Notamacropus eugenii: one gene and its partners. The protein of the gene in region 3 interacts with the protein of the main gene of each other region in a pairwise test. Links are inferred from orthologs where the notes say so. Each region holds a gene or a part of one and is shown on either strand. Other genes may lie near its edges.

What was found.
Region 1: the proteins of HOMEZ (region 3) and DEF6 interact in binary tests that used the Homo sapiens proteins (3 or more experiments, as listed by UniProt). The two-hybrid records come from large-scale screens. The link is inferred for Notamacropus eugenii from reciprocal best matches to the Homo sapiens genes HOMEZ and DEF6.
Region 2: the proteins of HOMEZ (region 3) and LRRC7 interact in a two-hybrid assay, tested with the Homo sapiens proteins (2 studies listed by BioGRID). The two-hybrid records come from large-scale screens. The link is inferred for Notamacropus eugenii from reciprocal best matches to the Homo sapiens genes HOMEZ and LRRC7.
Region 4: the proteins of HOMEZ (region 3) and SH3RF2 interact in a two-hybrid assay, tested with the Homo sapiens proteins (2 studies listed by BioGRID). The two-hybrid records come from large-scale screens. The link is inferred for Notamacropus eugenii from reciprocal best matches to the Homo sapiens genes HOMEZ and SH3RF2.

The regions. Positions count from the first base shown.
Region 1 is NC_092873.1:92,281,659-92,288,919, forward strand, and holds the start of DEF6 (differentially expressed in FDCP 6 homolog), read left to right. Parts: upstream 1-4,128; 5' UTR 4,129-4,202; coding exon 4,203-4,391; intron 4,392-7,261. Other genes in the region: ZNF76 (zinc finger protein 76), read left to right, coding at 259-420, 895-1,008, 2,010-2,114.
Region 2 is NC_092873.1:530,276,400-530,283,831, forward strand, and holds the start of LRRC7 (leucine-rich repeat-containing protein 7), read left to right. Parts: upstream 1-4,174; 5' UTR 4,175-5,559; intron 5,560-7,432.
Region 3 is NC_092878.1:9,849,417-9,857,685, forward strand, and holds the start of HOMEZ (homeobox and leucine zipper protein Homez), read left to right. Parts: upstream 1-5,228; 5' UTR 5,229-5,683; coding exon 5,684-5,729; intron 5,730-8,269. UniProt on the Homo sapiens protein: May function as a transcriptional regulator.
Region 4 is NC_092872.1:374,989,780-374,997,279, forward strand, and holds the start of SH3RF2 (E3 ubiquitin-protein ligase SH3RF2), read left to right. Parts: upstream 1-4,442; 5' UTR 4,443-4,534; intron 4,535-5,994; 5' UTR 5,995-6,140; coding exon 6,141-6,521; intron 6,522-7,500. UniProt on the Homo sapiens protein: Has E3 ubiquitin-protein ligase activity. Acts as an anti-apoptotic regulator of the JNK pathway by ubiquitinating and promoting the degradation of SH3RF1, a scaffold protein that is required for pro-apoptotic JNK activation.

The DNA of each region.
Region 1 (7,261 bases), on a different chromosome or scaffold from region 3:
CTGATTTGGTCATTAATGACTGGTGTCTAATCTCCTGGATGCTGCTTGTTCATTTGTGTATCTCCCTCGGTATTTAGCACAATGCATTGTACATTGTCAAGAAGTATGTTAATAAACGTTTGTTAAATTGTGAACAGAACAGGTTATGAATTTATAATGCCTACAGGAAAGATCTGATAAACAGCTAACAAAGGGCATCCAGGGATTTGACCCATGGCCAGAATAATTGTCTCTTACCTTCAGACCTCTTCCCTACAGGTCAGTCTGTCGCCTGAAGACTTGCAGGCCCTAGGAAGTGCCATTAGCATGGTCACTCAGCATGGTGGCACGACCCTCACCATCCCTAGTCCTGAAGACCTTGCCACCTCCAGCACACACACTGTCACCATGGTCAGCGCCGACGGCACCGAGACACAGCCAGTATGACCAAGGGTTTTTGTTCTCTCTCTGTCCTTGTCAGCGGAGGCATTCAGCCATAGCTGGAGTTACTCCACACCTCTTAATGCTCTAAGGATGTTCTTTCCCCTTCAAGAGAGACTCCTTAAGTCGATATCAATGTCATCTTAAAGACTGACAGATCTGGAGTCAGGAGACTCGTAGTTCCAGTCACCTGCCTTTCCTCTGTGGGCTTCGTTTTTGTACTCTATAAAATGCGGCTGTGGGAGGTGGGACTCAGTGAGCTCCAAGGTTCTTTAATGTTCTAAAATTCTGTGCTTTGGAACTCATGGGCCAGGTTAGATTGGGTAAAGGCCAGTCTCATTCAGCTCTGAACCGCTTCTGAATCCTGATAGTCTTCTCCATTTTTTTCCTTGGTCTCTATGAGATCCTTATTCCAGGATGCCTAGAAATGTCCTGGGAGAACAACAACAAAAAACAAACTTTTCTGTGTTTCAGGTTACCATCATAACCTCCGGGGCCATGGTGACTGAAGATTCAGCGGTAGCATCCCTTCATCACCAGCAGGTGGCACTGTTGGCCACGGCCAATGGGACTCACATTGCAGTGCAGGTATGTAGGCTGTAGGGAAGCCGGAGGAGGAGCAGGATATTACGGTAATCCAGAGAGAAAACAAATGTGAAATGGAATTTTAGAAAAAACCTATTTCAAGGGAACTACTTCTGTGACTTCTCTCAGACCAAAGTCTCTGCTGCTGGGCTCATGGACAGAGTACCAAAGGTGATCTACCCATTCCCCCTCTCTGTGGTACTGCTCATCATCACTCTTTGTATTTCTGATAAGCTTGACCTCCCAGAGAACACTGGTACGACCTGTTTACAGAGAACTTTACTTACCTTATTTTATTTGCTCATCCAGAAAGCTCTGTGAGATGATGAATGCACATTTTATTATTCCCATTTTACAAATGTGGTGACTGAGGCTCAGAACAGAGACATTTTTTGAACCTAAGGTTTGGTATCAGAAGTACCAGGACCACAGCCCAGGCTTTCTAACTCCAAAGTCAGTATGCCATCCATTGTGCCACAGCTGCTGCTGCTTCTCAGTCTGGCAGGGTAAGGTGCTGTTGTGTAAGAAGTACACTGGGCAACACCAGGAGACCTCAGTCTGCCAGTAATTCACTGAATTACAGATTCATGACATCTCAGGGTGGGAAGAGACTTCAAAGGCCAACTGGTCTAACTGACGCTGGACAGAGTAGGTAGCTGTGTCACCTTGTCAATGTCTACTCTCTGAGTTTTGTTTGTAATCTCATCAAGGAGGAGAAAGGGAGAGATTAGATCATCTCTAAGATCCTGTTTAGCTCTAGAGGTCCATGCTGCTATGATTTTGACTTCTTTTCCCCTAGGAAATGACCCAAGCCCATTAACCCTCCACATCTCCTTGACAGCGTTTATTCTCTTATGTATCAACCAATCAACAAGCATTAGTTGAGTTTATTGAGTACTTGAGGTACAACTAGAATCATGGTAGATTTTGGAGGATACAAAAAAACCTGCTTCTTGCCTACAAAGTGTCACATTCTCTTTCTCTTCTTCTCACCCCATTTGTAGCTGGAGGAGCAGCAGACTTTGGAAGAAGCCATTAGCATGGCTACTGCAGCCATGCAGCAGGGTGCTGTGACCCTAGAGACATCTATATCAGAGAGTGGCTGTTGAGACCCGAGAGCAAGCTGGGTCCCACACAGTGGCAAAGAAGATGCCTTGTGGTACAGGCGTCACTCTCTACAAGCGTCCAGGCTGTGGATGAACCACGGAAGGTGGCCACGTAGAGGTCGCTGAGCCAGAGAAAGCAGCGTTGAGAGCAGCATAGTTGGGGGAAAGGGAATGGTTTTGCCATCAGTAAGGGTGGCAGCCAAAATGGGGGAGTTCTAGATATCCTCAGAAGGTGAGAAGGACCCATTGGGTCACTAGACTGCCCTGGGGCTCCCACTGAAGCCTGCTGGGTGCTCTTCTTCCTCTTGAGAACACCCTATTGCCCCTTACCCCTTTACTTAGGACAGTGAGTAGAGGTCAAGGATGCCGTGGGGGCTGGCCTTTTGCCCTCAGGTAGTTGCTACCCACTATGTGGGAGGCCCCAGCAGAGGCAGGGGAGGGGGGAGCACCTGGCTCCACCAGAGGATATTCTGGAGCCCCTCAAGCCACATACAGCAATAACTATGGCAGAGGGTGGCCAAGATGTCCAGGCAAATGGCAAGAATTTTCTGAGGGGGCTATGGCAGACAGGAGGAAAGAAGCAGTCTCCTTCAGCCTTCTCTCAGCCATTCATACTGTGGCTGGAGCAGAGTGGTCCCTGCACTTAGATTGCTGGGTTTGGGATTTGTGTGTGTGTGGTTTTTGTTTGTTTTTTAATTCCATTTTTATAATTTTTTTTTCTGCTAAGGGTGATGGTGGCGAGTGGGTGGATGCTTATTTAATAAAAGTCCCAAATTTCTGTATGAGTCGGTCATTGCCCCTTTGTAATAGAAACCAGCAGCAAGACACTGATCTCAGTAGCTCTGAGCCCCCACTTGGAGCCAAGGGAGCCCTGTGTTTCTCTAGCTGTGACTAGGATGAAGTGCCAGAGGTAGGATGATGGTAAGGAGATAAGATTTGGCTTTTTGTGGTGTGGGGTTATATAGATCACATCATACTGTCCAGGCAGATCCATTTAAGTCCCATCTTCTCAATCCCTCCGCCCTTCTCAAGAATGCCAGGTTTCTTTGCTACCTACAGCTTCCAGACTCCAGGAGAATTTCAGCCCCATGTTCATTTCTCAGCAGAGAGCTTTCACTGTGAGACTTCCCTGTTGTGCAGCGTGGCCTGGACCTAGTTGGCAATGCCCTGTGACCACAGATAAGCCTTTTATATGGTGTCATGGAGGTAGCGTTGAACTGGCTATCCAACAAGATCACCCAGGTCTGGGTGACTCTGGACAAATTATTTAATGCTTCCTGAAGCTGAGCTTCTTCATTCATCTATAAAATGGTGACAACCATACTTAGAGTCCATTCCTCCTTGGGTTTGTATGTGTGGCTAGAAATTACCCCAGAAAAATACTATAGGGATGAATGACCCTCTTCCTCCACAACAAATGATAATTAAACAAATTGAGCTTTGCTCTTGGGGAGCCCTACCCTTTCTCCATCTTGTTGGAAGCATCTGGAGATCAATGCCCCTGATTCCCCTCTAGAGTCTCACTCCCCTAAAGCTGGATTAGATGTCTCTCTCATATGGATTAGGGAGGACCTTCTGAGTTAAGATCTAATGAGGTTTGGGAGGGACCATGCCATAAATTCCCTGGAGAAATGCTGTAGGGAGTTGGGTTGGGGGGGAGGCTGGGAAAAGGGAAAGGGTTTCAATAATTTCATATGAAGAAAAGGGAGGAGCAAAGCATTGCCTGTTTTACTAATTTCCCCATTTGCTTCTACCCCACCCCTACTTGAGAGGAGGTGAGAGCTGTAGAGTGGTGGCACTAACTTCAGAGGCTTACCAATGTAACTACTGAGGATAAGCATCTTCCACCCCTTCCTCCACCCCATCACCAAAAAGTCTCCATGAACCAGAGTGGTTCACTTAGTAGAGTGATCTTAGGAACCACCCCCACCAGCTCTGTAGGCCAAAGGAGACCCTGGTGAGATCTGTGCTTTCAGGAGATCGGCAAGTAAATAAGGCCGGTTCCTATCTTGGATACCCACCCCCCTCTCCCCTTCTGAGGAGGAACCTAGAGTACTTCAGAGCAGGCAGGTGGAGCTAGTGCTCTGTAGTATGGCCCCTCTGCGGTCTCCAAAGCCGTTTGCATTTCCTGAAACCGGATCTCCTGGGTGTCAGAGCAACCTCCGGGTCCCAGGCTTCTCGGCCATGGCCCTCCGTAAGGAGCTGCTCAAATCTATCTGGTACGCTTTCACAGCCCTGGATGTGGAGAAGAGCGGCAAGGTCTCCAAGTCCCAGCTCAAGGTGAGGCAGAGGCCCCCTTGAGGGGCCCAGGGTGGGAGGAAGGGACGAGAAGCCAGGGGAGAGGAGCCTTTCACTGCCCCTACCTCTAGCAGGGCTTGCTCCTGTACTGCCCCAGGAGAGCACCATCCTGGCAGTACGGGTACCCAGAGCCCTTCCAAAGGAGCTTGGGAGCCACGACTGGAGGGACCAATATCATATCCTGGTGGGAGGCTTCTGTTCAGTGTGGGACAGCTCCAACAAACCCCCTACTACGGGCCAGGAACTAGTAGAGACATGAAGGGAGATTGTGGGACTTCATAAGAGGGTAGTGAGATCCAAACTCAGACTCAGCACACGTTCCGCCCCCCCCCCCCCCCCCACCCCGAACCCTCCTTTCGGTCATACCGGGACGCGTAGCCAGCATCTTCCTGCCCCATTTCCTCTGGCAGCTTTGAAAGGAGACTGTTAGAAAGCTCTCAGTCACTTCCTCTCAGGGCCTAGGGGCTGCATCTCCCCTGCCCCCAATCCGTGTAGATTCAGGGTAGGTCTACTACCCCCAAGGACACAGAAGAGAAGCTCCCCCAAACACCCCTCCTCCCTCCACTGGAGTATTGCCTGGCCCTCCCTGTCAGAATTCAGTTTGAAGAACTACTGCTTGAGGCCATGGTGGTAGTAGTTAGCAAGGGGTATATGCCAGTGTCTTCTTGAAAGGCAACTGCCCAGCAGAAATCTGCCACCTATGTGACTGTGGACTGCAGATTCTCCTTCCCTCTGTCCATTCCTGGAACAGGTCTGGCAAAGAGGCAAAAAGGGATGCAACTGCCCTACTAATGGGACTGTGATGGACCCAACCTGCTAACCCTTGAAAGGCTTCACGAACTTGACATCCAGGAGGGAGGCTTTTCAAATATCAGCCACTGTGCTAGGCAAAGCCCAAAATTCAATAATCCCCATGATGATGTAATATATGATAGAACAATCCCCCCAAATGAAATAATTCCTAGCCTCAAGGAATTTACAAAGTCCATTTAAGAGGTGAGAGGCACTGGGAGCTGGAGAAATCAGGGAGAGAGCCTCATGGAAGAAACAGCTCTCAAGATGAAGAAAGCTCCACGAATTTTAGGAGGCAAAGATGAGGAAGGAGTGTATTCCTTGTGCAGAGGGATGGAGATGGAGTGACATTTATTAGAATCTGCAAGAAAGCTCATTTAGTTGAACCATATAGTGCTTTGACATGTAATAAGCCTGGAAAAAATAGGGGCCAAATTGTGAAGGGTTTAAATGCCAAACAAAGAAATCTGTATTTGACCCTGGGGACAGGAGTTCTCTGAGGTTGTGGCTAAAGGGATAAAAGGTAAAAAAATTCATCATAGGATCATGGACCTAGAAGTGGCTCAGAGGTCCCCTAGTCCAACCCCATCATTTTACAGGTGAGAAAAAATGAAGCCCCGGAGAGGAATTGAGCTGTAGAATAATTGGATGAAATGAGTGTTTATGTCCCACCCAACTTCTTGCCTCCCTGAATCCCAGGGCCAATTTATGAGGAAGAGTTGGAGCCCTTGGGACTCTCACTGCTCCACTGATCCCTCAAAGGGGTTCCTGGGGACTAATTCCTGGCAGTCTGATCAGTCACTGCAAGTCTGAGCAAGTCAGCGGGCCTCCTAACCTGGTTCTCTCTTCTCCCCATCCACCCAGTGGCACAGAGCTCTAAGATTTCCTCAGGTGGCTGGGCTAGAACCACCCCCACCTCCCTGATCCAGGGAGGCAGGGAGAACCACAGCATAACTGCTTTTGTCTTGATTATCTCACAGCCCCATTCAAGCCTGCACCCACAACCCCAGTTGACTCTATCCTTAAAATCTGCCTTTAGGATTTTCAGGTGCCTCTGGCTGGCAGGACCCTTTACAGATCACCCTCAGTTAGTCCAGTAAACATTGATTAAGTACCTACTATATGCCAGACCTGGGCTAAGCACTGAGGATACAAGGAAAGGGAGGACAATCCCCACCCTCAAGTAGCTCACAATTGAACACATAATAAAAAACTGTACCCTGTATGGGCAGCATAGTGGCACAGTGGATAGAATGCCCAGCCTGGAGTCAGGAAGACCTGAGTTAGAATCCAGCCTCTGAGACTTATTAGCTATGTGACTCTGGGCAAGTCACTTAACTCAGTTTGTCTCAGTTCCCTTATCTGTAAAATGAGCTGGAGAAGGAAATGGCAAACCACTCTAGTATCTTTGCTAAGAAAACCCCAAAAAGAGCCACAAAGAGTTGGAAATAACTGAAAATGACTAAATGAACAAAAACAAACCACCCAGAATGGGGGAGTATCGAAGTCCTGGGACCTTACTTTTAGTGGAGGATTTGGGAGGAGGTCTCCTATATCTACTCTCTATCCTTCTATCACTGCCCCATAACTAGGGCAGTTTTTCCTCTTAGCCAGAACCACTGAAATTTAAGGCTAACAGACTTTCAAGGAAGGAGATTCCATAGCCTCCTGAGTAATGTCTTGGAATATCAACAGATTTCAGAAATATTTTTTCCCCTTTATTCCTGATTACCTTTTGCTACAGAAATGTGTAGTTTTGACTCCATTGCCTGAATACTAACCCCCTCTAGATTTTTAAGTCTGTTAATTCAGTGTCCCCCAACTCCACCCTTAACCCAACACTTCCATCTTGCCCCAACTCCTTTTAGCTTCTAGGTGCCATTGATTTGTCCTCCATCACCAGGGAATCCTGGAGTTTTCTCCATGTTCCCTGTGCCCCCTGTGTGCAGGGGCTTCAACCCAGCCTATGGGCCTTCCATTCTAGCTACATGGTCAACCAGAGAGGCCAACCCAGTCCAGACCTATGTCTGGTTCCCTCAAGTATTTAGGGATAGTACATT
Region 2 (7,432 bases), on a different chromosome or scaffold from region 3:
TGGAATGTTATGAAACATTTTCGAACCACTGGAACTGCCCAAAGGGGGAGATAAATCCTTAAATAAAGTGGACGTAAAAACAAAAAGTGTCAATAAAAATAAGATTAAAACTGGAAAGAGAAAAATCAAAGATAGCTCTTCTATGAATCCCTGATTTTCCTAGTTATTCCTATTGCCAATGTCATGACCTGACATAGCATTTTGTTTTGTAATTCTCTGATACTTTTCCTAATAGTGTGCATTGAATCTGTCATGTGTTTGTGTTTTATCTTTTTAGATTGTAAACTCCCTTGGGTAGGCCCTATTTTATCTATCTATCCATACATCTATTTATCCATCCATATCTATCTATCTATCCATCTATATATATATATTACATACTATCATCTAGACAAACAGTCATCTACTCATCCATATTTATCTACGTAAATCTATCTATCCTATCATCTATCTGTGCATCCATCCATCCATTCATCCATATCTATGTATCTATGTATATTTCCCCATCCTATCATCTATCCATCCATTCATCTATCAGTCCATATCTATGTATGTATATATATATATATATATATATATATATATATATATATATATATAAAACTATCCTATCGTTTATCTACCTATCTATACATGTTTACATATCTATCTACATATGTCTATCCTATCATCTACCTACCCATCTATATCTATCTGTCTGTCTGTCTGTTTATCTATCTCCCTTTGCTTAGCACAGTAGTATGCATGCCGTAGGCACAGAACGAATGAATTTCAGAGGGCCCGACTTCAAATCCTGGTTCTGCACTTTACTAGCTTTGTGACCTTGAGTAAGCCATTATCTTATTATCTTTCTCACAAGGCTATAAACCATAAAGTGCTTAAAGTCCTTCGGGAGAGATCATGGCTTACCTGAGGTCACAGAACTAGTAAGTTTGTGTGACTATGCATGTATATACAGAGGTAAATGCATGCATGTATATATATATATATACATATATATGTGTAGGTGTATGTATGTGTGTGCATGCATGTGTGTGTGTATGGTATTATTATTGGCATTGCCTATCTTTTCTTTAGAGTTCAGTACATGTCCTCCTTACTAGAATCACAGTTCTCAAGGTGAAGGAAACTCAAAGGTCAAATAGTCCGATCCCCTCATTTCACCAGCAAAAAAACTAAGGCTCAACAACATTAACTGATTCAACCAAGGTCATACACCTTGTCATTAGTAAAAAAGAATTTCCACTTTAACTGGAATATTGAAAAAGAATCTCTGACAACGTGAATGAATCCCTAATGGTGGATTTTCGAGCATTCTGGCAGGAAGGTCAAGGATGTATTTTGGGAGAGGAGTACCATTTCCAATGGTAAATCATTATACCACAGTAATAATTTTGCCTGTATTGGAAGCAGATCTTGGAGACTTTAAAGAAATGGGGGTATTTATTAGTATGCTGTATGAATTCTTGATTTTTTGAGTATACTTGGGCTATCCTTCAATGCTGCATCAAGTTTCCCAGACTTAATCTGATGAATGATTGTCAAAACTTCCTTGATCCGAGTTCTTAAATTGTGGATTTTTTTCTTGGCTCTTGGACTTTGCATGACCCTAAGGGTATTTTCATATTCATTTGTGGCCAATTTTAAAACAATCATATGTACTTTGGAAGAATTGGTGTAGGACAGCCCAGAGTTAGTTTAAAGACAGAATTTCCATTTGCATTTCAATAATCCAATTCTATGAGACTATTGAAATATTATAATATGGGACATTGTTCAAAAAGTCGAGATGGACAAATTCTATAAGAGATTCATAAATCTTGTACAAAATCGGGGCAGTATGCTCAGGGCCCATCTTGAAGAAGAATATTTTTCTTCTTTTGCATTGTTTTATAATGAAATCACATGTCAAAATACCTAAGAGCTCACAGTAGCCATACATGCTTTCCCAAACTCTATCCATTGAGTTCTTTGCTGACTCATGTGTCTAAGGTCCAGGAGTCAGAATTAGAGAAGGAGAAAAGAAGGCCATGATATTATTCCCGCAACTCCCTTAGAGCTCAGGAAAAGACAAAGGGGGAAAGGCTCCAGAAGGCATTCTAAATTCCCCACTCTGATGCTCACTTGTAGGTAAATACTCATTTCCCAGGATCCTCTAGGCATCCAATGCGGAAATGTGTTCATTTTTAGGAGAAGACAATAGAGAGACAATGTTGGTGAGGGAAGGCAATCCTACCAGATTTGGTAAAAGTGCACTTGGTGTGAAGCACTATGTGAAAGTTGTGTGGGAAACTCTGTGGTACTGTAGTGCAGCCAGATACTCTACTATAAGCTATGGACAGAGAAACTTAAATGAAAGGATCCCTATCCTCAAGGAGATTACAGTCCACTATGGGAAATAGAAAGTGTACACAAAATGGATTTAAAGCAATTCTTGGGGTGAGAGAGGATGACTAACAACAGGTGAATAAGGAAGGGCCTCCTTCAGGAGGAGGCCCCTAAAATACACCTTGAAAGGAGCCAGGAGTTCCCAGGGGATAGAGAGGAATGGCCCACAGAAAACAATTCAATTCAATTTACTAAGCATTAATTAAGTCCTCACTGTATTCACGGAGCACCAGGCTAATTCCAGGCTTCATGCCAGACATGCCGGACTGCAGCAAGCAAGCGTGTAGGAAGGACATGCAATACCTCATCGTGGGTCCAACCAGCCGGAGGCCTATTTGCAGGGGTGGGAGGAATGGTGTTTGAAGGATAGCCGGGTGAAGGCTTTAAAGGCTGAGCTAAGGACCAACACCATTGAGCAAGTTTTTCAAACTAGTTTTTAGTTTGCTCGTCTTGTTTTCCCAGTTCTCGTTTTCACATCCCACCCTGGATTATCCACTGGTGTAGGAAAACCGGACGTGACCCTACTAGGGAAAGAGAAGGAAGCCCGACTTTGGAAAATGCAGTAATTTGTCCCCTGAAATCATGTATTTCCTCCTCCTGACAGTTCAGTTACTCTGCAATCAGTGCATTTTCCAGCACTTACAAAGTCTGCTTTGGTGATGATGAGGCTTTCCCCGATTCTCCCCAGTCCAGCTTCTCTCCCTTCCCTTCCTCAGTAGAATGAAACAGCAGTTTCTCTCAGTCATCAGCCAGCTGTTCCCGGCAAAATCCACCTTCCCTGGCTGGTTACCCATCCGATTAGCTACCCATCTCCCGAATTCCTTTCCAGACAGTTCCTACCCAGAGAGAGGATGATTTTTGACCTTGAAGGGCTTATTCTCCCAGACCCACAATTGGGAGAACGTGCCTTGCGTTGGGATGTTGTGTGCACTGCACTGGGGAGCATGCACTGCACGCCTGCATCGACTCATACACCACTCCACTTGAAGGTAGTTTGAAAGATGAAATGTCGCCCTTTAGCTTGCTTAACATGAAGAGAAAAGTAAAAGCTTAACCTCTCCTCGCACGGACCACTCAGCAGTATTTCCCAAAGAAAATTTCTGGGTATGTATGTATGTGTGTATGTATATATGTATGTATGATTGTACGTATATGAACGTGTCTATCTCACACCAGTCACTAAAAAGACAGAGAAAGAAATCCATCAAATGTGGGGGATCTAAAGCTGTGTGCAGAATAAGACCCATTTCAAATTGTCACTTTCCGTCACTCCTCCCTCCCCAAGCTCTTGTGGTTGCTGTGGAGGGAGGGGGCTATTTTCAGTGCTACTTGGCCCGCAGACACTTCCAAGAGTTTGACAGCCAACTCAGTGGCCCACAGGAGAGAAAAGGTGCCTTTGTGTGCTACCGTGATAAGGGGAATAGGAGATGGATGGGTAAATCCTAATGCTGCAAGTCCTTTGTCGCTAGGAAGTGGCCACTCCCAGGGTGGGCTTGGAAGATGGGGCGCTAAGTCCTAAACGGTGGGTGTTATACCGACTGCATCTGGACAAGAGACGCCCCCCCCCCCCCCCGCCCCTCTTCTTGGTAGCCTGGGAGGGCGGGGTCCTGGGGAAGCAGAAGCCGGGGAGAGGAGACACTCTGCCCCTGCTGAAAAAGCCGCGGCCACGGCGGCAGCAGCAGCAGCAGCAGCCCCAATCCCAGTCCCAGCCCCAACCGCAGCCCCAGCCCCAGCAGCAGCAGCCTCAGCCCCAGCAGCAGCAGCAGCAGCAGGAGCAGCAGCAGCAGCAGCCTCTGCAGGAGCTCCGAGCCCCGAGCTGCACTCAGCGCGGCTCCAGCAGTCACGGAATCTGTGGGGGCGGCTCTCCTAGCACGCACGCGGAGGCTGGCGGGGAGCTCTTTGCACCGGGACCGGCTGCTCCAGGGGAAGGCGCGGGGCGGCGGGGACCCCAGCGCCACGGCGGCGGACAGGGACTCGGGCTCGGAGGGAGACTTGGGCCGGCCCTCAGAGCAGCAGGCAGTCTCTGCCGCCGCCGTGCACCCGAACCAGCGAGCCCCAGCGGGCCAGGCTCCGGGGCACCCTCCTCCCCTGGAAGCCCCGGGCCTCGGCAGCAGCCGATGGGCTCTAGCCTGGGCATCCTCCGCTTTCCCCGCGGGGTTTTTAGCCGAGGAGGGGGCGGAGGCTAGCTCAGAGGGGAGGGGCGCGGGGCGCGTAAGGGCTCAGTCTCCACCCCTCGCTGGTCCGGGAGGGGGGAGAAAATCTCCTTGACATTTTTCACACTTTGAAGCCGTTGCTGCAGCCGGTGTAGTCCTTCCTACCAGGGGGTGGGGAGCACCAGCAGGAGGAGGAAAAGGAGGAGGAAGAAAGCCAACAGGACGAGGGGGGAGGGGGTCGAGTAAGCCAGGGAACGAGCGGGGCTGCCAGCCACATGCCCTGCCTCGCCGCCTGCCCACCCCGGCACCTGTGAGCCAAGCCGCCGTACTGAGGCGAGGCGAGGTGGGCAAGGCGGGCGAGGCCCCCGCCTCCCGGGCCAGCTGCCCCGATCCCCCAGCGGCTTCTGGCCACCCTCAGCTATTGAGACTGCCACCGGCTCTTTTAACCCCCTTCTCGCTTCGGCGTTCGCTGCACACCCAGCGCTCCTTGGGGATCTCCCCCCCCCCCCAGCCCCGCCCCGCCTGGCACAGGCACACAGAGGCTAGGAGTCGGGGGGCACCGTTCGACTTGCCTCCTCGCCTTGCCTTTTCCCACCAGGATTTATTGTCTGTGGAACCTCCTGGGGGGTGGGGAAGGAGGTGCCGTTATCACTGCTTCTGCCGCTGCTGGTGATTGGGTGGCCGGCCAGGCTTGGCACAGGCTAGAAGAGTTACCGCTCTACTCCCACCCCCAGCCTGCTGCTAGTCGCTGCCCGGGCTTCCCCTCTCTACGGCTTCCCATGGGAACACATCCAGCCGTCCACCTGAAGGGCATCGGCATCATGGTCTAGCCTTGGACCTTCCTGGAATTCCCTTTCCTTTTCCTCCTTTCCTCTCTAAGAAAAGGAGAAAAAAAAGATTCTCCACTCCCACTCTACTGCGGACACTGGAACACACACACTTTAAGGAATAACCATTTGCAGCCGAACGTCTGGAGCCTTGGGGAGACTCATGGATAGTTCCTCCAGGAGCCTGCAATGTGAGTACCCTACCTCCTTCTCTTCCCTGGGCCCCTTCCCTCCCTTTGGAGAGGGGCTGCTGCAGTGGTCAGTTTCCTCGCGGTGCCTGCTTCCAGGCACAGCGCGAAGGCGTGAGAGCAGCCGGGCTCCCTCCTAGGCTCAGAGTCCCGAGGAGGAGAGGGCAAGCAGGTTCAGCCTTAGGCTGCCCGCGATCACCCGGCGCCAGCTACTGCTCTGGCGCTGGGACAGCGTGTATTTCTCTCGGGGGATGGCCACTAGATCGGTAGTAGATTGCGGGAGGCGTTTCAAAGGTCCTGGCGGGAGGTTGGTAGAGGTAAGTGGGTAGACTTCACGGCCAGAGTAAGTCTAGTAAAGGGTTACATACTGCGAAAAGGGTGTGGGGAGAGGTATAGAGAAGGAGACATTGCTCCAACAGTTAACAGTAAGGAGGTCCAAGAAAGGGGTTCTCAACATCAGCTTGGAGATCGCGCCGGCAGCTGTTTCAGGGAGATGCCCAAAAGACTGGAGTGGCTGTTGGCTGTTGTGATAGCTGCGGGCACACTCTCGCTCACTCGCACGCGCGCACACACACACGCACGCGCTTGCACAAACACGCGCGCGCGCGCACATACACACACACACACACACACACACACACACACACACTTGTAGCAAGGGAACATTAACCCTCGCTGCTCACCCTTCTGTTGTCCCCTGAGGTGCGGTTCCTATTTTGGTGCTGGGGTTGTTAGGAAAATGCTTCCAAGCTCTTTGTTTGACCTGGGTGCTGGAAAGAAAGGGGTTTCGGGTATCGGGATGAGGAGGGGCGAGGGCGAGGAGATCGGGGGTGGTCGGGTGCAGACGTGCATTTAGAGGCAGAAGGATTTTCCTCTCCTCACCCCAGAGACCTTCCCAAACTCGAGCTTCTGGTTTGCATTGTGCCTCGGGAAGGTGCTGAGAGTGGGTAAGCGTGGACTGTGGGGATTTCTGCGCTTTTGTCCGCTCTCAATGTCTCTGCGTTCGTTCTCCCTGCTGGACTCCTTAGCAAGCCGGCTGTATGTTACAGCCTCCACTGAAAGAGGGAGAAAAGAAATGATTGTAGTATTAATAACTGCATCCTGACCGCCAGCCCATGGCTCTCATTACTATATAGCTCTGGTATTTCTATGCTAGCACAGTCAGCAATCTCCAGAGGGCCGCGTTATTATCTTTTTAAATAGCTTTAATATGTGTCTGTTTTTATTAGTTAGGGGATTGCTTTCCACATTACAGTGCTCAACTGCAAAAGGGGGAGGGGGGATTGGCCCAGCCTCCACCCTCCCTCCCCTCTTGCTCTGTCTCCTCCCCATACAAAGCGGACGAGGGGGAGCAGTGCAGCTGAGGTGGGGGCTTGCAGAACATGGAGATACACTTGACTAACTCATAGAAATAAACCCCAACCAAACCTCCTTTTTGGAAAAGGGGTGATGGAACCTCTCCTACGTCCCATCCTTCCAAGAAGGAGAAAGAGAGGGTTGCTAAGACATCTGCTTGTGCCTTCTGCTTACTTTCGCAAGGTACCTTCAGTTCGTTGAAATCACCTGAGGCGGTAACTGGGTCAGTCTGCATCCCTCCGTACCCCCTTCTCCCAGTACAGTGTGCCCCATGCAATTTGGTCCTGTGGTGGGGGAGAAGCGGTTTTATGGACCCGTGCATTCGAACCTGGGGAAAGTGTCTAGGCACAATAGAGAGATCAGAGCGTGGGCGAGAAGAGTGGAAGAGACCACGTGATCCCTCCGGTGGGCAAGATCCACTGCTGGGAACTTGTTTTTCTTTGTTCCTGCCTGAGCCTGTGAAATGTCATGCGTCCAGGCTGCTTTATTCCGCCCACAGAAGAAGAAAGTTTGCTGCATG
Region 3 (8,269 bases):
CAGGACCCTGTTTCCCAGGTAATGAGCATTTCCCTCTCCGCTTTCTTTGGGGTCTTGGAATGTGGGGGATTTACTGACTCCTCTCTGCCAGCCTTCTGCATTGGCAAGGAGGGAGGGTGGATTCCCCTCAGAAGCGGGGCTGCCACGGCTGCTTTGGCCTCTGCAGCCCACCTGCGCTCCTCTGAGTACAGGTCAGCAAGAGTGCAGCCTGCGGCCACCCCCGTTTAACCAGACTAGCACAAAGATCAATGGAAAACGTGTGTTAGGAGAAAGGGCACCGTCAGTAAGAACCGCGCACATGTTATATTCTAGAAGCAGATCTTTGATTCTCACTTCCCTGCATTACTACATGTCATCTCCAGACATGGCTTGAACAGGTCAAAGGACTGGGGGAGGAGGGGAGGCTAGAGTGGGGCTTTTCAGGCTGCTATCCCCTGGATCATGGCTGTAACAAAGCCTGTGCAGTGTTAGCAAAGGTCTGCTATAGAACCTGGGTCCCAGGTTCCCTTCCTGATGCCTTCACCCCAACATCAACCTCCATAGAAGTTCCTCCGACCTTCTGCCCTGGAGATCTCTGGGCTCATCTCTCCTTCCAAACTCTTAACTTTGCAAACTACAGTTTGTAAGGTGTATTCTTACAAATAACCTAAGTACTTTCCTGCCTGGTTGGGTCAGAAGCTGTGTCCATAGAAGTGCAACGAAAGGGTACATACTAGAAGCCAGTTGTAAGGCCTCTTTGGAAATCTGATGAGTGGTAAGTGCAGAGCCTGACTGAGGATATGAGAACCCTAATGGACTCGAGCGCCCTCTCTCTGCAGGTGTTCTCTTCAGCTCCAGTTCAGTGGAACTCTGGGGCTCAGTTTCTGTGACTCCTGGTTATCAGTTGGAATTCTAGGAAGCTGAGCAGATGTCTCTTACGCCTCCTCAAAACATGCACCCACAATACATGTAGTCATGAACCGCACTGATGACTTGGTTTCTCTCCTTACTGGGTTAGTCAGTATTCCTATGCCTGCTGTACATTTCTGAAAGGAGTGTGGTATGCACCGCAGTGCTCTGAAGCTTTCTGGGAGGGCTCTCTTGGGGTTGTGCTGTTCCCTGCCTGAGCACTAGAAGATGAACCCCACTACCTCCTGGACTGAATTCTCATTTTCTCTGTCCTCATACCCTTCCATGCACACATTTCACGCAGCAGCACCATGGATTCCACCAATCCTGCCACCCAAAAGATGTCAACGTGTACATCTATCTTCCCCCACACCTACCCCCTTCTCCTTCCAAAACTTTGCTACCCATTGACTTTCTGTCCACATCCTTAACAGGAAGACAGGCAACACCAACCATCCCCAGAGTGATACACTAGTTTCCCAGGGCTGGCCCGGCCCAACTTACAATGGAAGAGACTTCAGAGTACAGTGAAAAGGAAAGTACAGGGGTTAGGTTATTTCTCTATTCAAACATTAATAATGTGACAAAATATATCACAGAAAATGCCAAGCAACAGAAAGTAGTACCATAATGAAAGGGCACACATTCACTCGTTTTGAACAAGAGGTGTGATCTGAGGGGAAAGAATTATGAGATGGTTGGAAAGGGGGCTTCTTTGTGTTACCAGATGCCATCACTTGCACCTAAATTGTAGCCTTCAGCCATCTGACTTCATGTTACTCCGGGTTCCAAGTCTTGTTTTTTCATGTATAGCTCACAAGGGATGGTGGTAATTCATCATCACTGGCTCTCAGAATCACAAAATGTGTTAAAGCTAAAAGGGAACTTCAATTGTCTAGTCTGGCTGTGTTAGGAGACTGAGGTCTGAAGAGGTTTGGTAACCTATTCAAGGTCACTCAGACGAGCTAATGGTAGCATTAGGGCTGTAACTTGGGTCCCCTGTGTTCTTTCTGTATTAGTTCCTAGGACTAGATTTTCCCCAGAAAATCTCCGGCCAAAAATACTTTCTCATTCAACAAACTCCTAGCTTTTTGACAAAGGTAAAAATAAATCAAACATCTGTTTCTCTTCAAACACTATCTTTAGGCAAGAATTTTCACTGTTCCTCTCCTAAGCTTTCTAAATGTTTCAGTTCAGCAGACTTTATTAAGCACCATAAACGTGCAGAGCATTGTGCTAAGTGGTTGTAGGTCAGATGAGGAATATACAAAATCCAGATAATGCAGGGTCCCTCCCTGCACATACAGAATCTAGTCTGGGGTATGACAGATACATAACAGCAGCAGTCATAGGAAAAAGCAACCCTGTGCATCATTAGAGAGCTGCAGCCTGGTCTGGGAGTTCCCAGGAAAGGATGTGAGGAATGGTGGTTACCACCTGAGACTGGGGGGCTGGCAGAGGACTTGGGGAGGCTTTCTGTAGAAGGTGACATTTCATTAGATTATGAAGAACACATAGGAATTCAACAGGTCTGTGGGAGTGGGGAGAGTATGACAAACAAGGAACTGTGAAAACAAAGGTCCCCAGACAGTCAAGTATAAGATACAGCAAACAGTCAGTTTGACTGGAGCATGGTATATGTAGAGGGGAATAATATGAGGTTAAGCTAGAAAAGGTAGAGTGATACCTTGGATTACAGACAAGAAGGAAGCTTTGAACAATTCTGAATAGGAGGGCACAACTAGATTAGTGCATAATGCAGACATCTGGCAGTAGGGGGAAAAGATGGCTTGAAGGACGAGAGCAGAGGCAGAAAGACCTATTAACATTTAAGCAGGTAATCATGAAGGCCTAAGCTAGGTTAGGAATGCTGGAACTGGAGAAGATGCAGGAGATGCTACAGAAAAGAGTCAATTGATAATGGTTGGCCTGTGAGAGGTGTGGAAGAGGTAAAAAAGAAAAAATAAAAGATGGTGACAAAACAGTCCTCAGAAGAGAGAATGGTTTTGGGGTTTTTTTGGAGCATGTGGAATGAGTTTGTAGTTGAGGATAGCTATGTGGAGCTCAGGAGAATGGTCAGGGCTTGAAACAGATCTGGGATTCATTTATGTAAGGACCACATTGGAGAGAAGGGATGTGCAGAGAGAGGCAGTAGGGAGAAAAGGACTGAGAAATACCTTCCTTAAAGGGTCAGGAAGAAGAGAGAGATGGAGCCTTCCAATTGAAATTCTATGATTCTAAGCCATTAGAGAAAAGAATCAGAACACTGTGATGTCTAAGAAGCAAGGGAAGAGAAAGTATCCAGTAGGGACTGGACAGTTACCTGGAAGTAAAGGTATATGAGTACTGTCATGAGGCAATAGAGTTCTAAGTGTGTTCCCTTTATTAGAAAGGTTGGCACTTGCCAATAAAATGGATCCTCAATAGCCAAAGACCTCAAGTTGGGGACAGGCGGCTCTTTTATAGTGATTAACAAGATGACAATAAAATCTCGACCAACACAGGCATGCCTTCTGATGGTCTAGATGTTTCATGGAGGAGGTGGGATGAATGTTTACTCAGCTCCCCCCCATTACATCACTGGAAAATGAGCTCAATTCTCAAGTGATGACGTCAGTCTGTAGGCAGTGGGAGTTGCTACGGCAGTTGTGAACGATGAGCCTGACCTTTACCATGCAAGTTTCTCCAGAATGTGGGGGAAAGGGGGAGGGAAGGTCAAGTTACCAGAGTGGAGGTACAAGTCTTCAAACTAAACCAAAGTGACCTGAGATTACCTGAGTACACTTGCAAGGTGTAAGGGATTTAGACTCACTGGGAAAGAAAGTATTAAATCTATGCTGGCTTAGTTAAGTTTTAACAAATAGAATTAAAAGTTAATTTTCAATTTCACAGGGCTAAGAAAGGTCATTAGGTTTTGGCATTAAGTCACACCTTTGAGAGGCCACTTGCAGTTGAGTTGTGTAGGACATAAAAATGTAAGGGGTTGTGGAGAATGGTTCGTATAGAAACATCAGATATAAACAACTTTTTGTTGAAGATTGGTAGTGAACCAAAAGAATGCCTCTATGTAAGAATTAAGTAAAGAAACTAACTGATAATGGCACAGGATGAAAAGACTGTATTATAATGAATTATAAGTGTGCTTTATAATCTGGATTAGTGGAAGGAGTTGCCCAAAGAAGTAAAATCATAGATCCACCAGAATATTGGCAGTGAAAGGAAAGAAATAAATGGGGTAATTGTTGGATTTGCTAGAAAAGTGAAGGAAAGATTTGGAGGGGGCGACTAGAAAGATTTGACCATGTTTATAGTCTTGTGAGAATGAAGCAGTGGAGATAAAGAGGGTGTGTGTGTGTGTTTTGGGGCAAGGGAGTTGGTTCAATTACTGGAACAAGGTCCTGGAAGGAGCTGGGATAGAGAAATACAAGAAATGGGTGAAAGGGGTCAAGGGCACAACTAAAAAGACCAGCCTTTGCAAGTAGCTGGGGATGCAATTTCTCTGAAGTAGGATATACTGATTCCATTCAACAAATCAGAGCCCTTTGGATGGCCTCCGTCTTCCCATTGAAATAGGAGACTGTTGCCTGCTTGGAAAAGGTCTGATAGTTTGAGAAAAAGTTTTACAATGTTCACAATGGGGTATATAATGTTAAGAAGTAGTAAAATGAACTGATGAGTTTTTCCTCTGCCCTCAGCCCTTGCCTTCCATTTTACTGGAGATAATAATGAACTGAAGTTGTCTGAAGGCTCTGAATCCACGATTCTAACAGCAGCAGATAAGAGGAAATTAAAATCGGCTGAATGTATACTTGCATCCTCACCCGTGCCCTCACATCCCATAACACTGTATGCCTCCAGTTCCAGCATGACAGTATGCCCCCAACCTCTCTATTTTACGATCTTGCGCCTGATTCGGGACCACCCATCTGAACACAACACCTTCCCTTACCTCTTTTCCAGATAGAAAACATTTTTCTAACAAATAAAAAATAGAATTAAAATGGAATCTCAAACACCTGCATAAGCAGATGTGTTCTGGGTCTGGGAGAGGGGATTTTGTTAAAAAGTGGGCAAATAGGCATCCCCTTTGTCAGATGGGGCAGCACCCTTCTACCAAAACAGCTGACTTTTCAAAGTCCCATCAGAACCTTGCTCCTGGTTGGTAAACCTGTGCAAGGTGAGGGTGTAATGGAGTGGGGAAAGGTAGCAGAAGTTTAAGGGTCATAGTAGGACACTTACCCTAGTGGTTTTCCAGGATCTTTCAGGCAGTGGAAAAGCCAATAGTGGAAAATTTGGAGTCCTTTTTTACATATATCAACAGCTGCCACTAGTCACAGGAACCACCTTGGGAAAAGAGCTCAGTTTAATTCTTCTTTAAAGCAACCCCCAAATCTTGAGTTAGTGAGGGGAAGGGTTCCCTGAGGGTTACATCCTTCTGTGCCATTGGTCATCTTACAGGCAGGCGTGAAACAGGGAAGATAAGAAACGATATAGAGAAGCTATAAAAGCCTTTCTGCCCTGTCTGGAATGGGACAGCAAAGAGTAGATTAATAATAAAAGAAGAAAATGAGCTTTCCCCCACCACCACCACCACCTTAAAGGACAAAAACCTTCAAGTCTCCTCCCCCATCCATCCTGGTGGTGGTACAGTCTGACTGACTCTAGCTTTGGGGCCAGAATCTTCCTACCCCTGGAAGGCCCTGGGGCCTGCCCTAGTTACATCATAATGAATGAGCTGTGATGTCACTACAGCTTGTCCCCGCTTCCCACCAAGGTTTTTTAAGTAAAGTCTGATATGCTGAAGGATAAACCCACCATGAGGAGCAGAGCCTCAGAGCGAGGTGAGTGGGGACAGCCTCATGACGCCCGATCCTCCTAGGCTCTCCACCACACTCCTGCTTTTCTCCCCTCGCCTCCCCCCACACTGCTCAGTTCCTCCCAGCTTCATCTTTTGTGGTCCCAGGCCACTATTCTAAAAATTACAAGTAGCTTCTCCAGCTTCCACTAGCTTTGTCCCTTCACGCAATCAGAGAGAGCATACTCGTGGCCAATAGAATCTGACCAAACTCATGTGCAAAGTGCATGAGCAAAAAAAAAAAAAAACTGAACAAACCTGAGAGAACTGGTCAAGTTGAGGGAGGGAAAAATCCGCTTTGCTTCCATACTCATTTCTAGCCATAGGAAAAGTGGTTTTGTTCCCTTTACTGCTTCAGTCAATCCAGTCTTTCTTGTGCTCCATTTTCTCTCTTCCCTCCCATGGGAAATAATTTTTAAAAGAATAGAGGGAGTCTCTGTGCTCCCTTCCCCCTTGTGGACTCTTCCTGAATTCAAATCTAGCCTCAGACATTAGCTGCGTCACCCTGAGCAAGTTACTTAGCTGTTAGCCTTGGTTTCCTCATCTGTAAAATGAGCCAGAGACTGAAATGGCAAACTACTCCAGTTTCTTTGCCAAGAAAACCCCAAGTGGAGTCAAGGAGAGGCAGAAGATGGGAGCAACAAGGCACTTGCCATCCCACCCTCCCTTGGTCTTTCCAGAGCTAGCTCTTCCACCTCTCCTGAGCCACAAAAACAAGATGCAATAGTCTGCCCAGGGCTAAGTAGCTGGGGGAAATCCCCACAATCTGTTTCCTTTCCACCCTCTATTCTGGTTTTAGAGCCACAGTGGCATGTCTTTGCTGGTCAATCCAGGTTTGTTTCATTTAGGTCCTATCCTCTAGACTACAAATTTAAAGCTGGAATGGAACTAGAAAGGTCATCCAGTCCAACCCTTTCATTTTCTTACAGATAAGGAAACTGAGGCCCAGAGGGATTTGCTCAAGGTCTTCTGACTACAAATCCAGTGGCCCTTTCCACAGAGACTCTAACTTTGACCAAGCCTGCACTGCATGGCGTGGACAAATGTCTCTGGCTTCCCTCCTAACTGAAAGTGATGTCATCCAGGGCTCTAACCTGAGTGGAAAGGTTCTGGGCCTTTACTGTGGATCTGTTTGGTGAAGTTTTGTCCCCAAATGATTAACATTACCAAATTTTAGTTTGAAGGATACCTACACAATATATACCGACTGGTGGGCAGGAGGGGGAGCAGGGATCATGATTACATGTAGTTGTATTTCAAAATTCTGAAAGAAGACTCCTGGCCAAAAACAGTCCTGACGGACCCCATCACAGTCTTGCGCAGTTCCCTACAGTCAGGCTATCTGATAACCAAAAGGACTCTAGACCCTGAAGCAGACCAGGAGAGCCTAAAATGGAAGCTGGAGTTCTCCCTTGTGAGGGAAGAATTGAGGCCCCTGTATTGAGCAAAAAACATTTCATCTCCCTCAGGCTATTCCCTTCCCTTTAAAACATAATGACCCTTACTAACTACCTAGCAAGGTGGTTACAAGAAGAATTCCATAGGAATAAGAATTGAGTGTACTGTGAAGAGGACCCAAATGGCAAGAAATTAAAAACTGCACAAGAAAAGGTGTTATGTAGTGGAGGGCCAAGGGGACGGCAGAGCCAAGTCAACCAGATGGGTTTCTTAAGCCCCTGCTGCCTGGCACTGCGCTGCCCACTGGAGGTAGAAACCCAAGCAGAAAGCAGTGCCCGCTCCCAAGGAGCTCACAGTCCGACAGGGCTTGGGAAGGGGGTGCGAGGAGAACAAGCACGAAGATGGGGTGCTTGGGAGAAGCTGGGATGATCAGAGGAAAAAGGAGCCAGAAAGGCTTCCTGGAGATGAGCTCCGAGTTGGGGCGGTGTCTGAGAAGATGAACGGAGAGCCCTGCGGGTGACACGGCGTGCCCTCGAGGATCTAGAGCAGAGGCTGCCAGACGTTTTTAAGAGAACATTTACTTAGTGCCCACCTGGAGACCTACTTTATTTAGCCCTTTGCCTTGGTTTAACTTCCATCATTTTTTCTAAACTGATGCAGCTTCAATCTAGTAGCTGGCTGTAGCTTTGGGAGGCTTTTCCCACACTGAAGTGCTGCCGACAGCAGGCCCGCAGCCCGGCACCGCACAGCGCGGCACCGCACGGACCCCCGCCAGCTTACCCCCGCAGTGACGTTAAGCCGCCGCTCGGCCGGGAAACGAGTCCGAGCACGTGTCTGGGACGCCTCCCCCGCCTCCCGGACGGCCCGGGCCCCGCCCACGGAAGGGCCCCGCCCACGGAAGGCCCCGCCGGCGCGCTCCCAGGCTCCTACCTGGTCGGGGCAGAGGCCTGGCCGCTAGGTGGCCGGAGCCAGGGCTCCGCCCCGGCCGCCCACGCGCGCTTAGTGTGACCCTGGCCCAGTCACTGCGGGCCTCACCTTCCTCCTCCGTCAGCGAGCGGCACAAGGGAAGGGCAGAAGCACTTCAGGGTCCGGAACGACTGAACAAAGGGAAGGAAAGGCCTACCAAAG
Region 4 (7,500 bases), on a different chromosome or scaffold from region 3:
AAGTTCAAATCTGGCCTCACACATTAGCTGTATGACCCTGGGCAAGTCACTTAACCCTGTTTGCTTCAGATTCCTCTTCTGTAAAATGAGCAGGAGAAGGAAATGGCAAACCACTGGAGCATCTCTGCCAAGAAAACCCCCAAAAAGGAGTCACAGAAAGTCAGACACAACTGAAAAAAAAATGATGAAATAAAAAAAGAATTAAGAAACCTCTTGATGAGGATGAAAGAGATGAGTGTAAAAACTGACTTGATATCAAAAAAACTAAGATCTTCACAACTGGTTTCACTACTTCCTGACAAATAGAGGTAGAAGAAATGGAAGCAGAGTCAGATTTTTTATTCATATATATATATATATATATGTATATATATATGTATGTATGTATGTATTCAGATAGATAGATAGATAGATAGATAGATAGATAGGTAGATAGACAGGTAGATAGATATAGATGACAGCATACTAAAAAGCAGAGACATTACCTTATGTTGTTGACAAAGGTCAGTAGTGTTAAGGCTATGGTTTTTCCAGTAGCACTGTATGGCAGTGAGAGTTGGATTGTAAGGAAAGTTGAATGATGCAAAATTTATGCTTTCCAATTATAGTTCTGGAGAAGACTTTTGAGAGTCTTTTAGACATCAAGGACATCAAATCGGTCAATACTTAAAGAAATTAATTGAGACAATTCACTGGAAGTTCAAATGTTGAAGTTTAAATACTTTGGCCATGTAATGAGAAGACAGGATCCATTGCAAAAGACCCTGATGGTGGGAAAGCTTGAAGATAGAAGGAAAAGGGGACAGCAAAGGATGAGATGGATAGATAGTGTCATAGAAGCAACAAACATGAACCCTGACAGACTTCGAAAAACAGTTGAGAATAGAATGGCCTGGCATGCTATATAGTCCATGGGATCATGAAGAGTGATGAAAATAACCAATGTTTATTGATTGATTGACTACATGACTTGAGGCCCCTTCTAAGCTCTGAGGTTCTTTGATTCTAAGATTCTGTCATTGTATGATCATCATGGACTTAAGTGATGATAGCTGAGTACCTATTGGCTGCTCAGAGCTGTGGGGAGGGAAGTTGAAGTATTAGAAAGCAACTATCAATGAAAGACCAATCAAGGAATGAACATAAAGTTTGGTCTGATTTAAAAAAAATTTGCTAAAATTCAGATTGGACTATAACTTTTCAGGAACTTGACTGTTACATAAAGTGAGGTATATTTGCAAATATAAACAGCAGGTACAAGTGTTTTATATATATGTATATATGTATATATACATATACATATATATTTAAGTATACTACATATAGCCAACGATATCTTTACAAACACAACTGCTGACAACAGGCTACATGTATAGTGGAGGGAAAAAAGAAGTAGGAGCCTAGAGTCTGGAGAAGTTCACTTTGTGGGGTTTTATTTGTTGGTTTGTTTATATTCTTTAGATATTCATCTGAACTGCTGCCAAATAAGCATTTAAGAAGACTGGGGAAATCCTGATTTAATACTATCCTCCTGCCTCTGAAGATAAAGGAGCAGCTACCAACAGAACTCCCTCCCAAGGTTTCAGTCAGGATTAGTCATCCCCAAAGTATGCCAGATGGTCACCTATATGGTATATTATAGGGACCGTTGGGAAGACCCACTGCTTCTCCTGAATGATGTTCACTGCTCTGGCAGTGATGTCTGCAGTTCCACCAATGGCAATTAATTCCTTTGAGTACAGTATTGCTTTCACCAGGTTTCTTCTTTTAAAATGCAAAGAATTCCAGCACTGGCAATATTAAGTTCCTTATCAATAAGGGGTATTAATATTGCTAATGATGATAATTAATAAGCATCTTATGAATTATTTTATCTTTTGAGTTCTTCAGTGAAAGCATAAAAACATAATCTTGTACAGGAAAAGTACTGCTAAAAATGACAAGGATGGAACAGAGGGAGATGAGGAAGAAGAGAAGCGAGAAGTCTCACATTTTGCATATAAATAGTATAATACAAAGGTTTGCATATGTATGTGAAAATGTGTATCTATACATATGTTTCTGCTTAGCACAGTGTCTGGTATACTGTTGTTGTAATTCAGTTGGGTCGGACTCTTTGTGACCCCATTTGAGGTTTTCTTGGCAAAGATACTGGAGTGGTTTGCCATTTCCTTCTTCAGCTCCCCACTTGCCCAGGGTCACACAGCTAGTAAGTGTCTGAGGTCACATTTAAACTTGAGGAGTCTTCATGACTTCAGGGCCAGCACTCTACCCACTCAGCCACTCAGCCTGGCACAAAGTAGCTACTTAATAAATGTTTACTGACTATATGTCCTGTCTCTGACTAATATGACCCTGGATAAGTCACTTGAATAACCAGGTCACTTTGTAAGACCATAAACTATAAAGAAGGTGTTGATCAACAACAGTAGAGCAAATTCTTCACCCAAAAGAGGAAGTTCTCCTGCTCCAATAAAAAAGATAAATGCTTGCATATGAAAAGTAATGTGGCACAGGAGATAGAGCCTTGGAGCCAGGAAGACATGGCAAGTCTTGACTGTGGTACATTCTAGCTCTGTGATTCAGGGACAAATCATTTAACCTGTCAATGCCTTCAGACAACTCTCTAAGACTATAAGAGGGAGTTTTCACACAGGGACCTTCCTTGCCCTAATGAAATCACTGGTCTGGTCCTACCTCCTCCCCCAAGAATGAGTTACATTTTCCATTAAAACAGAAAACAATGTTCACATGCATCTTTCAAAAAATTTGTTTGGATAAGGAAGCTGCCAGATAGATCGGGAGTTGGGGAGAAGGAACAGGTTATAAATTTATGGAGTAAGGAACAGAGTAGAAGGGAGGTAAAAGCCAGTAACTTCACGTGGCTTTCCAAAGGACAACAAGCCAAGGCCAGCAATTATTTGGAAAAGGTGATAAGGGCAAAGCAGGAGCTTAAAAAGGAGATATATGTATAAAAACGCTATAGGAATCTATAAAATTGAACAGAAAAATATCTCTCAAAATTGGTTAGCTATGAAGTAAAGTGGTTAAGACAGCTAGGTGTGTGTGTTCGTTCTTCATTGCCGAAGAAGACCATGCCATCAGAGAAACGATGACATGACTTGCACTTGACTTTGTTTTGAGTGAGGGAGGGCTGTGCAGGTCACCAACCTCACTTCTCCTCCAGAGCCATCTGAATCAAGTGACCAGATGTTCATCAGGATTACTGGAAATGACCCAAGATGAGGCAGTGACACTGCCTTGAGGCAGTGAGTTAAGTGACTTTTCCAAGGTCACACAGTTAGTGAGTGTCAAGTGTGAGAGGTGAGATTTGAACTCAGGTCCTCCTGATTCCTGCACTGGTTCTCTATCCACTGCACCCCCAGGTAGCACTGCGGATAAAGCATTGGGCTTAGAATCAGGAAACTTTGTTTTCATGAGCTCAAATTCAGCCTCAGACACTTAATAGCGGTGTGATCCTATGCAAGTCACTTAACCTTGTTTGCCTCTATTTCCTCATCTGTAAAATGAGCTGGAGAAGGAAATGCAACCACTGTAGTGTCTTTGCCCAGAAAATCCCCAAATAGGATTACAGAGAGTTGGACACAACTAAACAACAACAAAAAGTGGTTAACCAAAAAAAAAAAAAAAAAAAAAGTTATGCTCAGAAATATTCAGGTTCTACTCCATATCTACAATACATTTTCTTTTGGGTGGATATTTTTCAGAACAACATTGGGCAAAGTTTGAAAAACTAAAATAACCACTCCACCCTAGTCCATTGTCTATTCCCATGTATTTATCTTAATGTACTTTTTAAACAATGGAAGAATTATAATGTTATATTGTGAGAGCGTGTAATATGGGAAAAGCACTGAGCTGGAAGTAAAGACAATTTGGATCTAGTTCCAGTTGTCATTAACTACGGACCGTGAACTAGTCACTTCACCTCTCTTGGGTCTTTCATCTGGATATGAAAGTATCAGGCAAGCTGACCTGGAAGATCTCTTCCAGCTGGCGCAATTATATGATGGGTCAAATCCTGGACGTGCATTTATGTTATTACAAATAGGGATTAGGGGAGGGTGGGGGTCATTCTGAGGAAACCTTCAGGAGGGTTCAAGGTTTCAAATGAAGGGAATGATGTTGACTTTGATCATGACAGAGACATGTTTCAACTTCTTAGACTAGCGAGTGGAAAAGGTGAACGTGCAAACCATACACGTGCTTTGTGCCGGGGGTTCGCTGTTATTGACGCCCTCCTAATCTTGTTCCCCAATCTCGCCTTTTCCCAGAAATAAGCAGGGCGGCAAAAAAACAATGGGCTGCGCCGCAGGGAGTGTGCTTCCTCCTCCCGAAACCTGCCGAGCGTCTGCAGCCCGGCGGCGAAAGCGTTAACAGAGCTGGATGAGTAAGCCGAGCCATCCAAATGAGTAACATACATAGTTGTTAAAGTTTTCAAGGCGGCTGCAGCTCGGAGAGAAGACACGAGACACTGGGGCTGAGCTTCTTCGGCAAAGGTCAGCGGCGTGAGGTTAGTGCAGGCTCCGGCTGGAGCTGACTGCGTACGGGAGCGAGCCAGAGCCTGGCATCTTTGAGGGAAGCAGGGGAGCGGGGGAGCAGTGGGAGTGCCCAGAGCCAACTCTGCATTTAAGGTCTCTCTGGCTGCTAGGGGGCTGACCGCCACCCTTTCTTCGCCTCCTTCCCAAGAATTACTCAGTAGGCACCAGCGCTGAAGCCTGGCTTAGTCTGCGTGACAAGCGTCGGACTTCTCAGAGAGACTTAGCCCTAGCGAGTTGGGGAGGGCCATTACGCCCATCAGGAGCAAGGACGGGATTTCTGAGGCTTGGGATTTTGACTTTCAAGACACACACACACACACACACACACACACACACACACACACACTCACACACGAAATCACACCTGTGAACTCTGGACTCGGCTTGCTTTTTGCAAGTTGTGGCCAACAGTCCAGAATTCCTTTCTGTTTCAGTTAAAACAAGTGTTGTCAAAGTAGCTAAACAGGCTCAGTTACTTCCCGTTGTGGGAGGAATATTGCCTTCTGCGGTTGTCTTAGATAATCGTGCTAAGTAAGCAGAGGGAGGCTTAAAGTGACCAGTTTGCAGTGTGGGGTAAAACTGTAATTGAAGCAGGTTGCTAGGTGAAAGGTTTCCCATGCATTGCTAAGAAATCTCATTCAAGAAACGTATTTAACGTATTTAAAAGATGCTAACCTTACAACTGCATACTATATTGCTTTGTAATTAACTTTTGGGGGGCGGGGGAGACGATCCGAAGGGCAGAATCGTGAGGGACTCCGGATGTGGAAACAGCCTTTACTGGCAATTCCTCAGTAATTTAGTTTTACAAGAGGCCTTTCCTGATCCCTCAGTTAATAACGCACTTCTCTCCAAATTATTTTGTACTTATTTGCATGCTTCCCCTACCCTACCCCAATAGAATGCCATGTGTCCATGGGCACAAAGTGAGTTTGTATCCAAGGCAGGACTGCCTGACTAAGATTGGCCCACTATCTGCTAAAGCAAGCTGCCTCTTATTATCAAACACATGCCTAGAAAAATGAGGAAAGAAGGTCATAGATCTATATCCTCCAAGAGGTTTTGATTCTGCTGTGAGTTAAAAGTTTTCAGAACTGAGACGGAGGCAGGTTTGTACTTCCCAACCCACCTCTAGCTTCCATCTACAGGTAGGAATTAGCATAGACACTTCAATATGAATTATTCACCTTGGATTTTGGCTTTCCCTCTAAAACTCCGGTTACTTGTCACCCAACTGAAAGCCCCCCTCAGATTCTTGCTGCAGGCTTGAGAGGCAATGCTGTACCTGCTATTACTAAATCACGACTCACTTGAAACTTAGATGCCGGGAACAAAGTACACGCTTGCAAATTGCCTTATGAGGCACTGCTTCACATTGTAGGTGGGATACATTTCAAAGCAGTCACATTTTTTGTCCTCTCTTTTTCTTCAGACATCGAGGTTCTCTGAAATCCAGGACCCAGCTGGTGTTCTCCTGAGGACTGATCTGACCTGCTCCCCCATCCCCCACTCTTGTCTCAGGTCACCTTACCATGTGGACTCTGTCCATTCAGGCCAGGATTGGAGTTTTAAAATAAGATGGATGATTTGGCGTTACTTGATCTTCTGGAGTGTCCCGTGTGTTTTGAAAAGCTCGATGTCACAGCCAAAGTCCTCCCCTGCCAGCACACCTTTTGTAAACCATGTCTACAGAGGATATTCAAAGCACGCAAGGAACTGAGGTGCCCAGAATGCAGAACCCTTGTCTTCTGTGGTATTGAGGAGCTCCCAGCCAACTTGCTCTTGGTGCGTCTCCTGGATGGCGTCCGATCGGGTCAGAGCATGGTGAGAATGGGCTCCATTCGAAGACCTGGCATACTGACCTCTCAGGACCCAAGCAGGAAAACCAGGACAGATCCCAGAGGTTCGCAGCCCAGTCCATACCGACTGACTCCCAATGCCCGAATCCACATGGATGGGGTAAGAAAGTATCTGTTGATATACTGTCACGTCGAAGACTGGATTGTGAAATACAAATGGCTAAGGAGTACTTGATTTTAGTTGAGTCTTCACTTCTCATAAAATTTCTGGCTTCAGTGAATTTACTTACTGTTTATTATTTTTGTGATGGACCCAAGTTCAAAACCAGCCTCAGATACTTGCTAGCTGTGGAACCTTGGACAAGTCACTTAACTTTTGTCTGTCTTTGTTTCCTCATCTGTAAAATAGGGATGACAATAGTATCTAACGCCCAGAGTTGTTGCAAAAGTAAAATGAGATAATATTTGTAAAGTATTTTACAAATCTTGCATCTCTATATAAATGCTAGCTATTATTATCCTTTTTGCTTAGCTGTGCAACTTGGTGAGATCCCAAGTATCTCCAAAACTCTACAAACAGTCTAGGAACTCTTCTTATACCTGCCCACTTCTAGAGTATTTTTATAGATTTCTGGTTTTTCCAGGTTCTTCTGCTCCAGGAAGTAATAGAGATGGATTTTTTTTAAACAATATTTTTAAAACACTTTTCACTGTTGCTCTTAAGGAACAAAACCAATAAGTGGGGAAACATGATTAAAAAAAGAAGGGGACATTTTTAAACTGCTTTGTCTTCGAGGTTCAGGAAAGTTTCCAGATTCAGTTTTAGTTAGATTTTCGCCCCAACCTATCCCTTTATTCCAATCATAATATGCAATTATGACAATGCACATTCATAATTGCTAAAAATTATCAAGAAATTAAAATCTCAAGGATGAGGCAGGAAAAATATGTGAAAATGGATTTATTGATCTACCTACCCCCACCATGCTATGCCTTGACATCTGTAAAATTGGGGTAATAATAACTCCTGCTTCACAGAGTTTAGTGGGGATGAAATGAGTTAACAGAAAGTTTGTAAACTTTAAAACACTATATAAATACTATTATTATTATTATGATTATTACTAGTATAATAGATG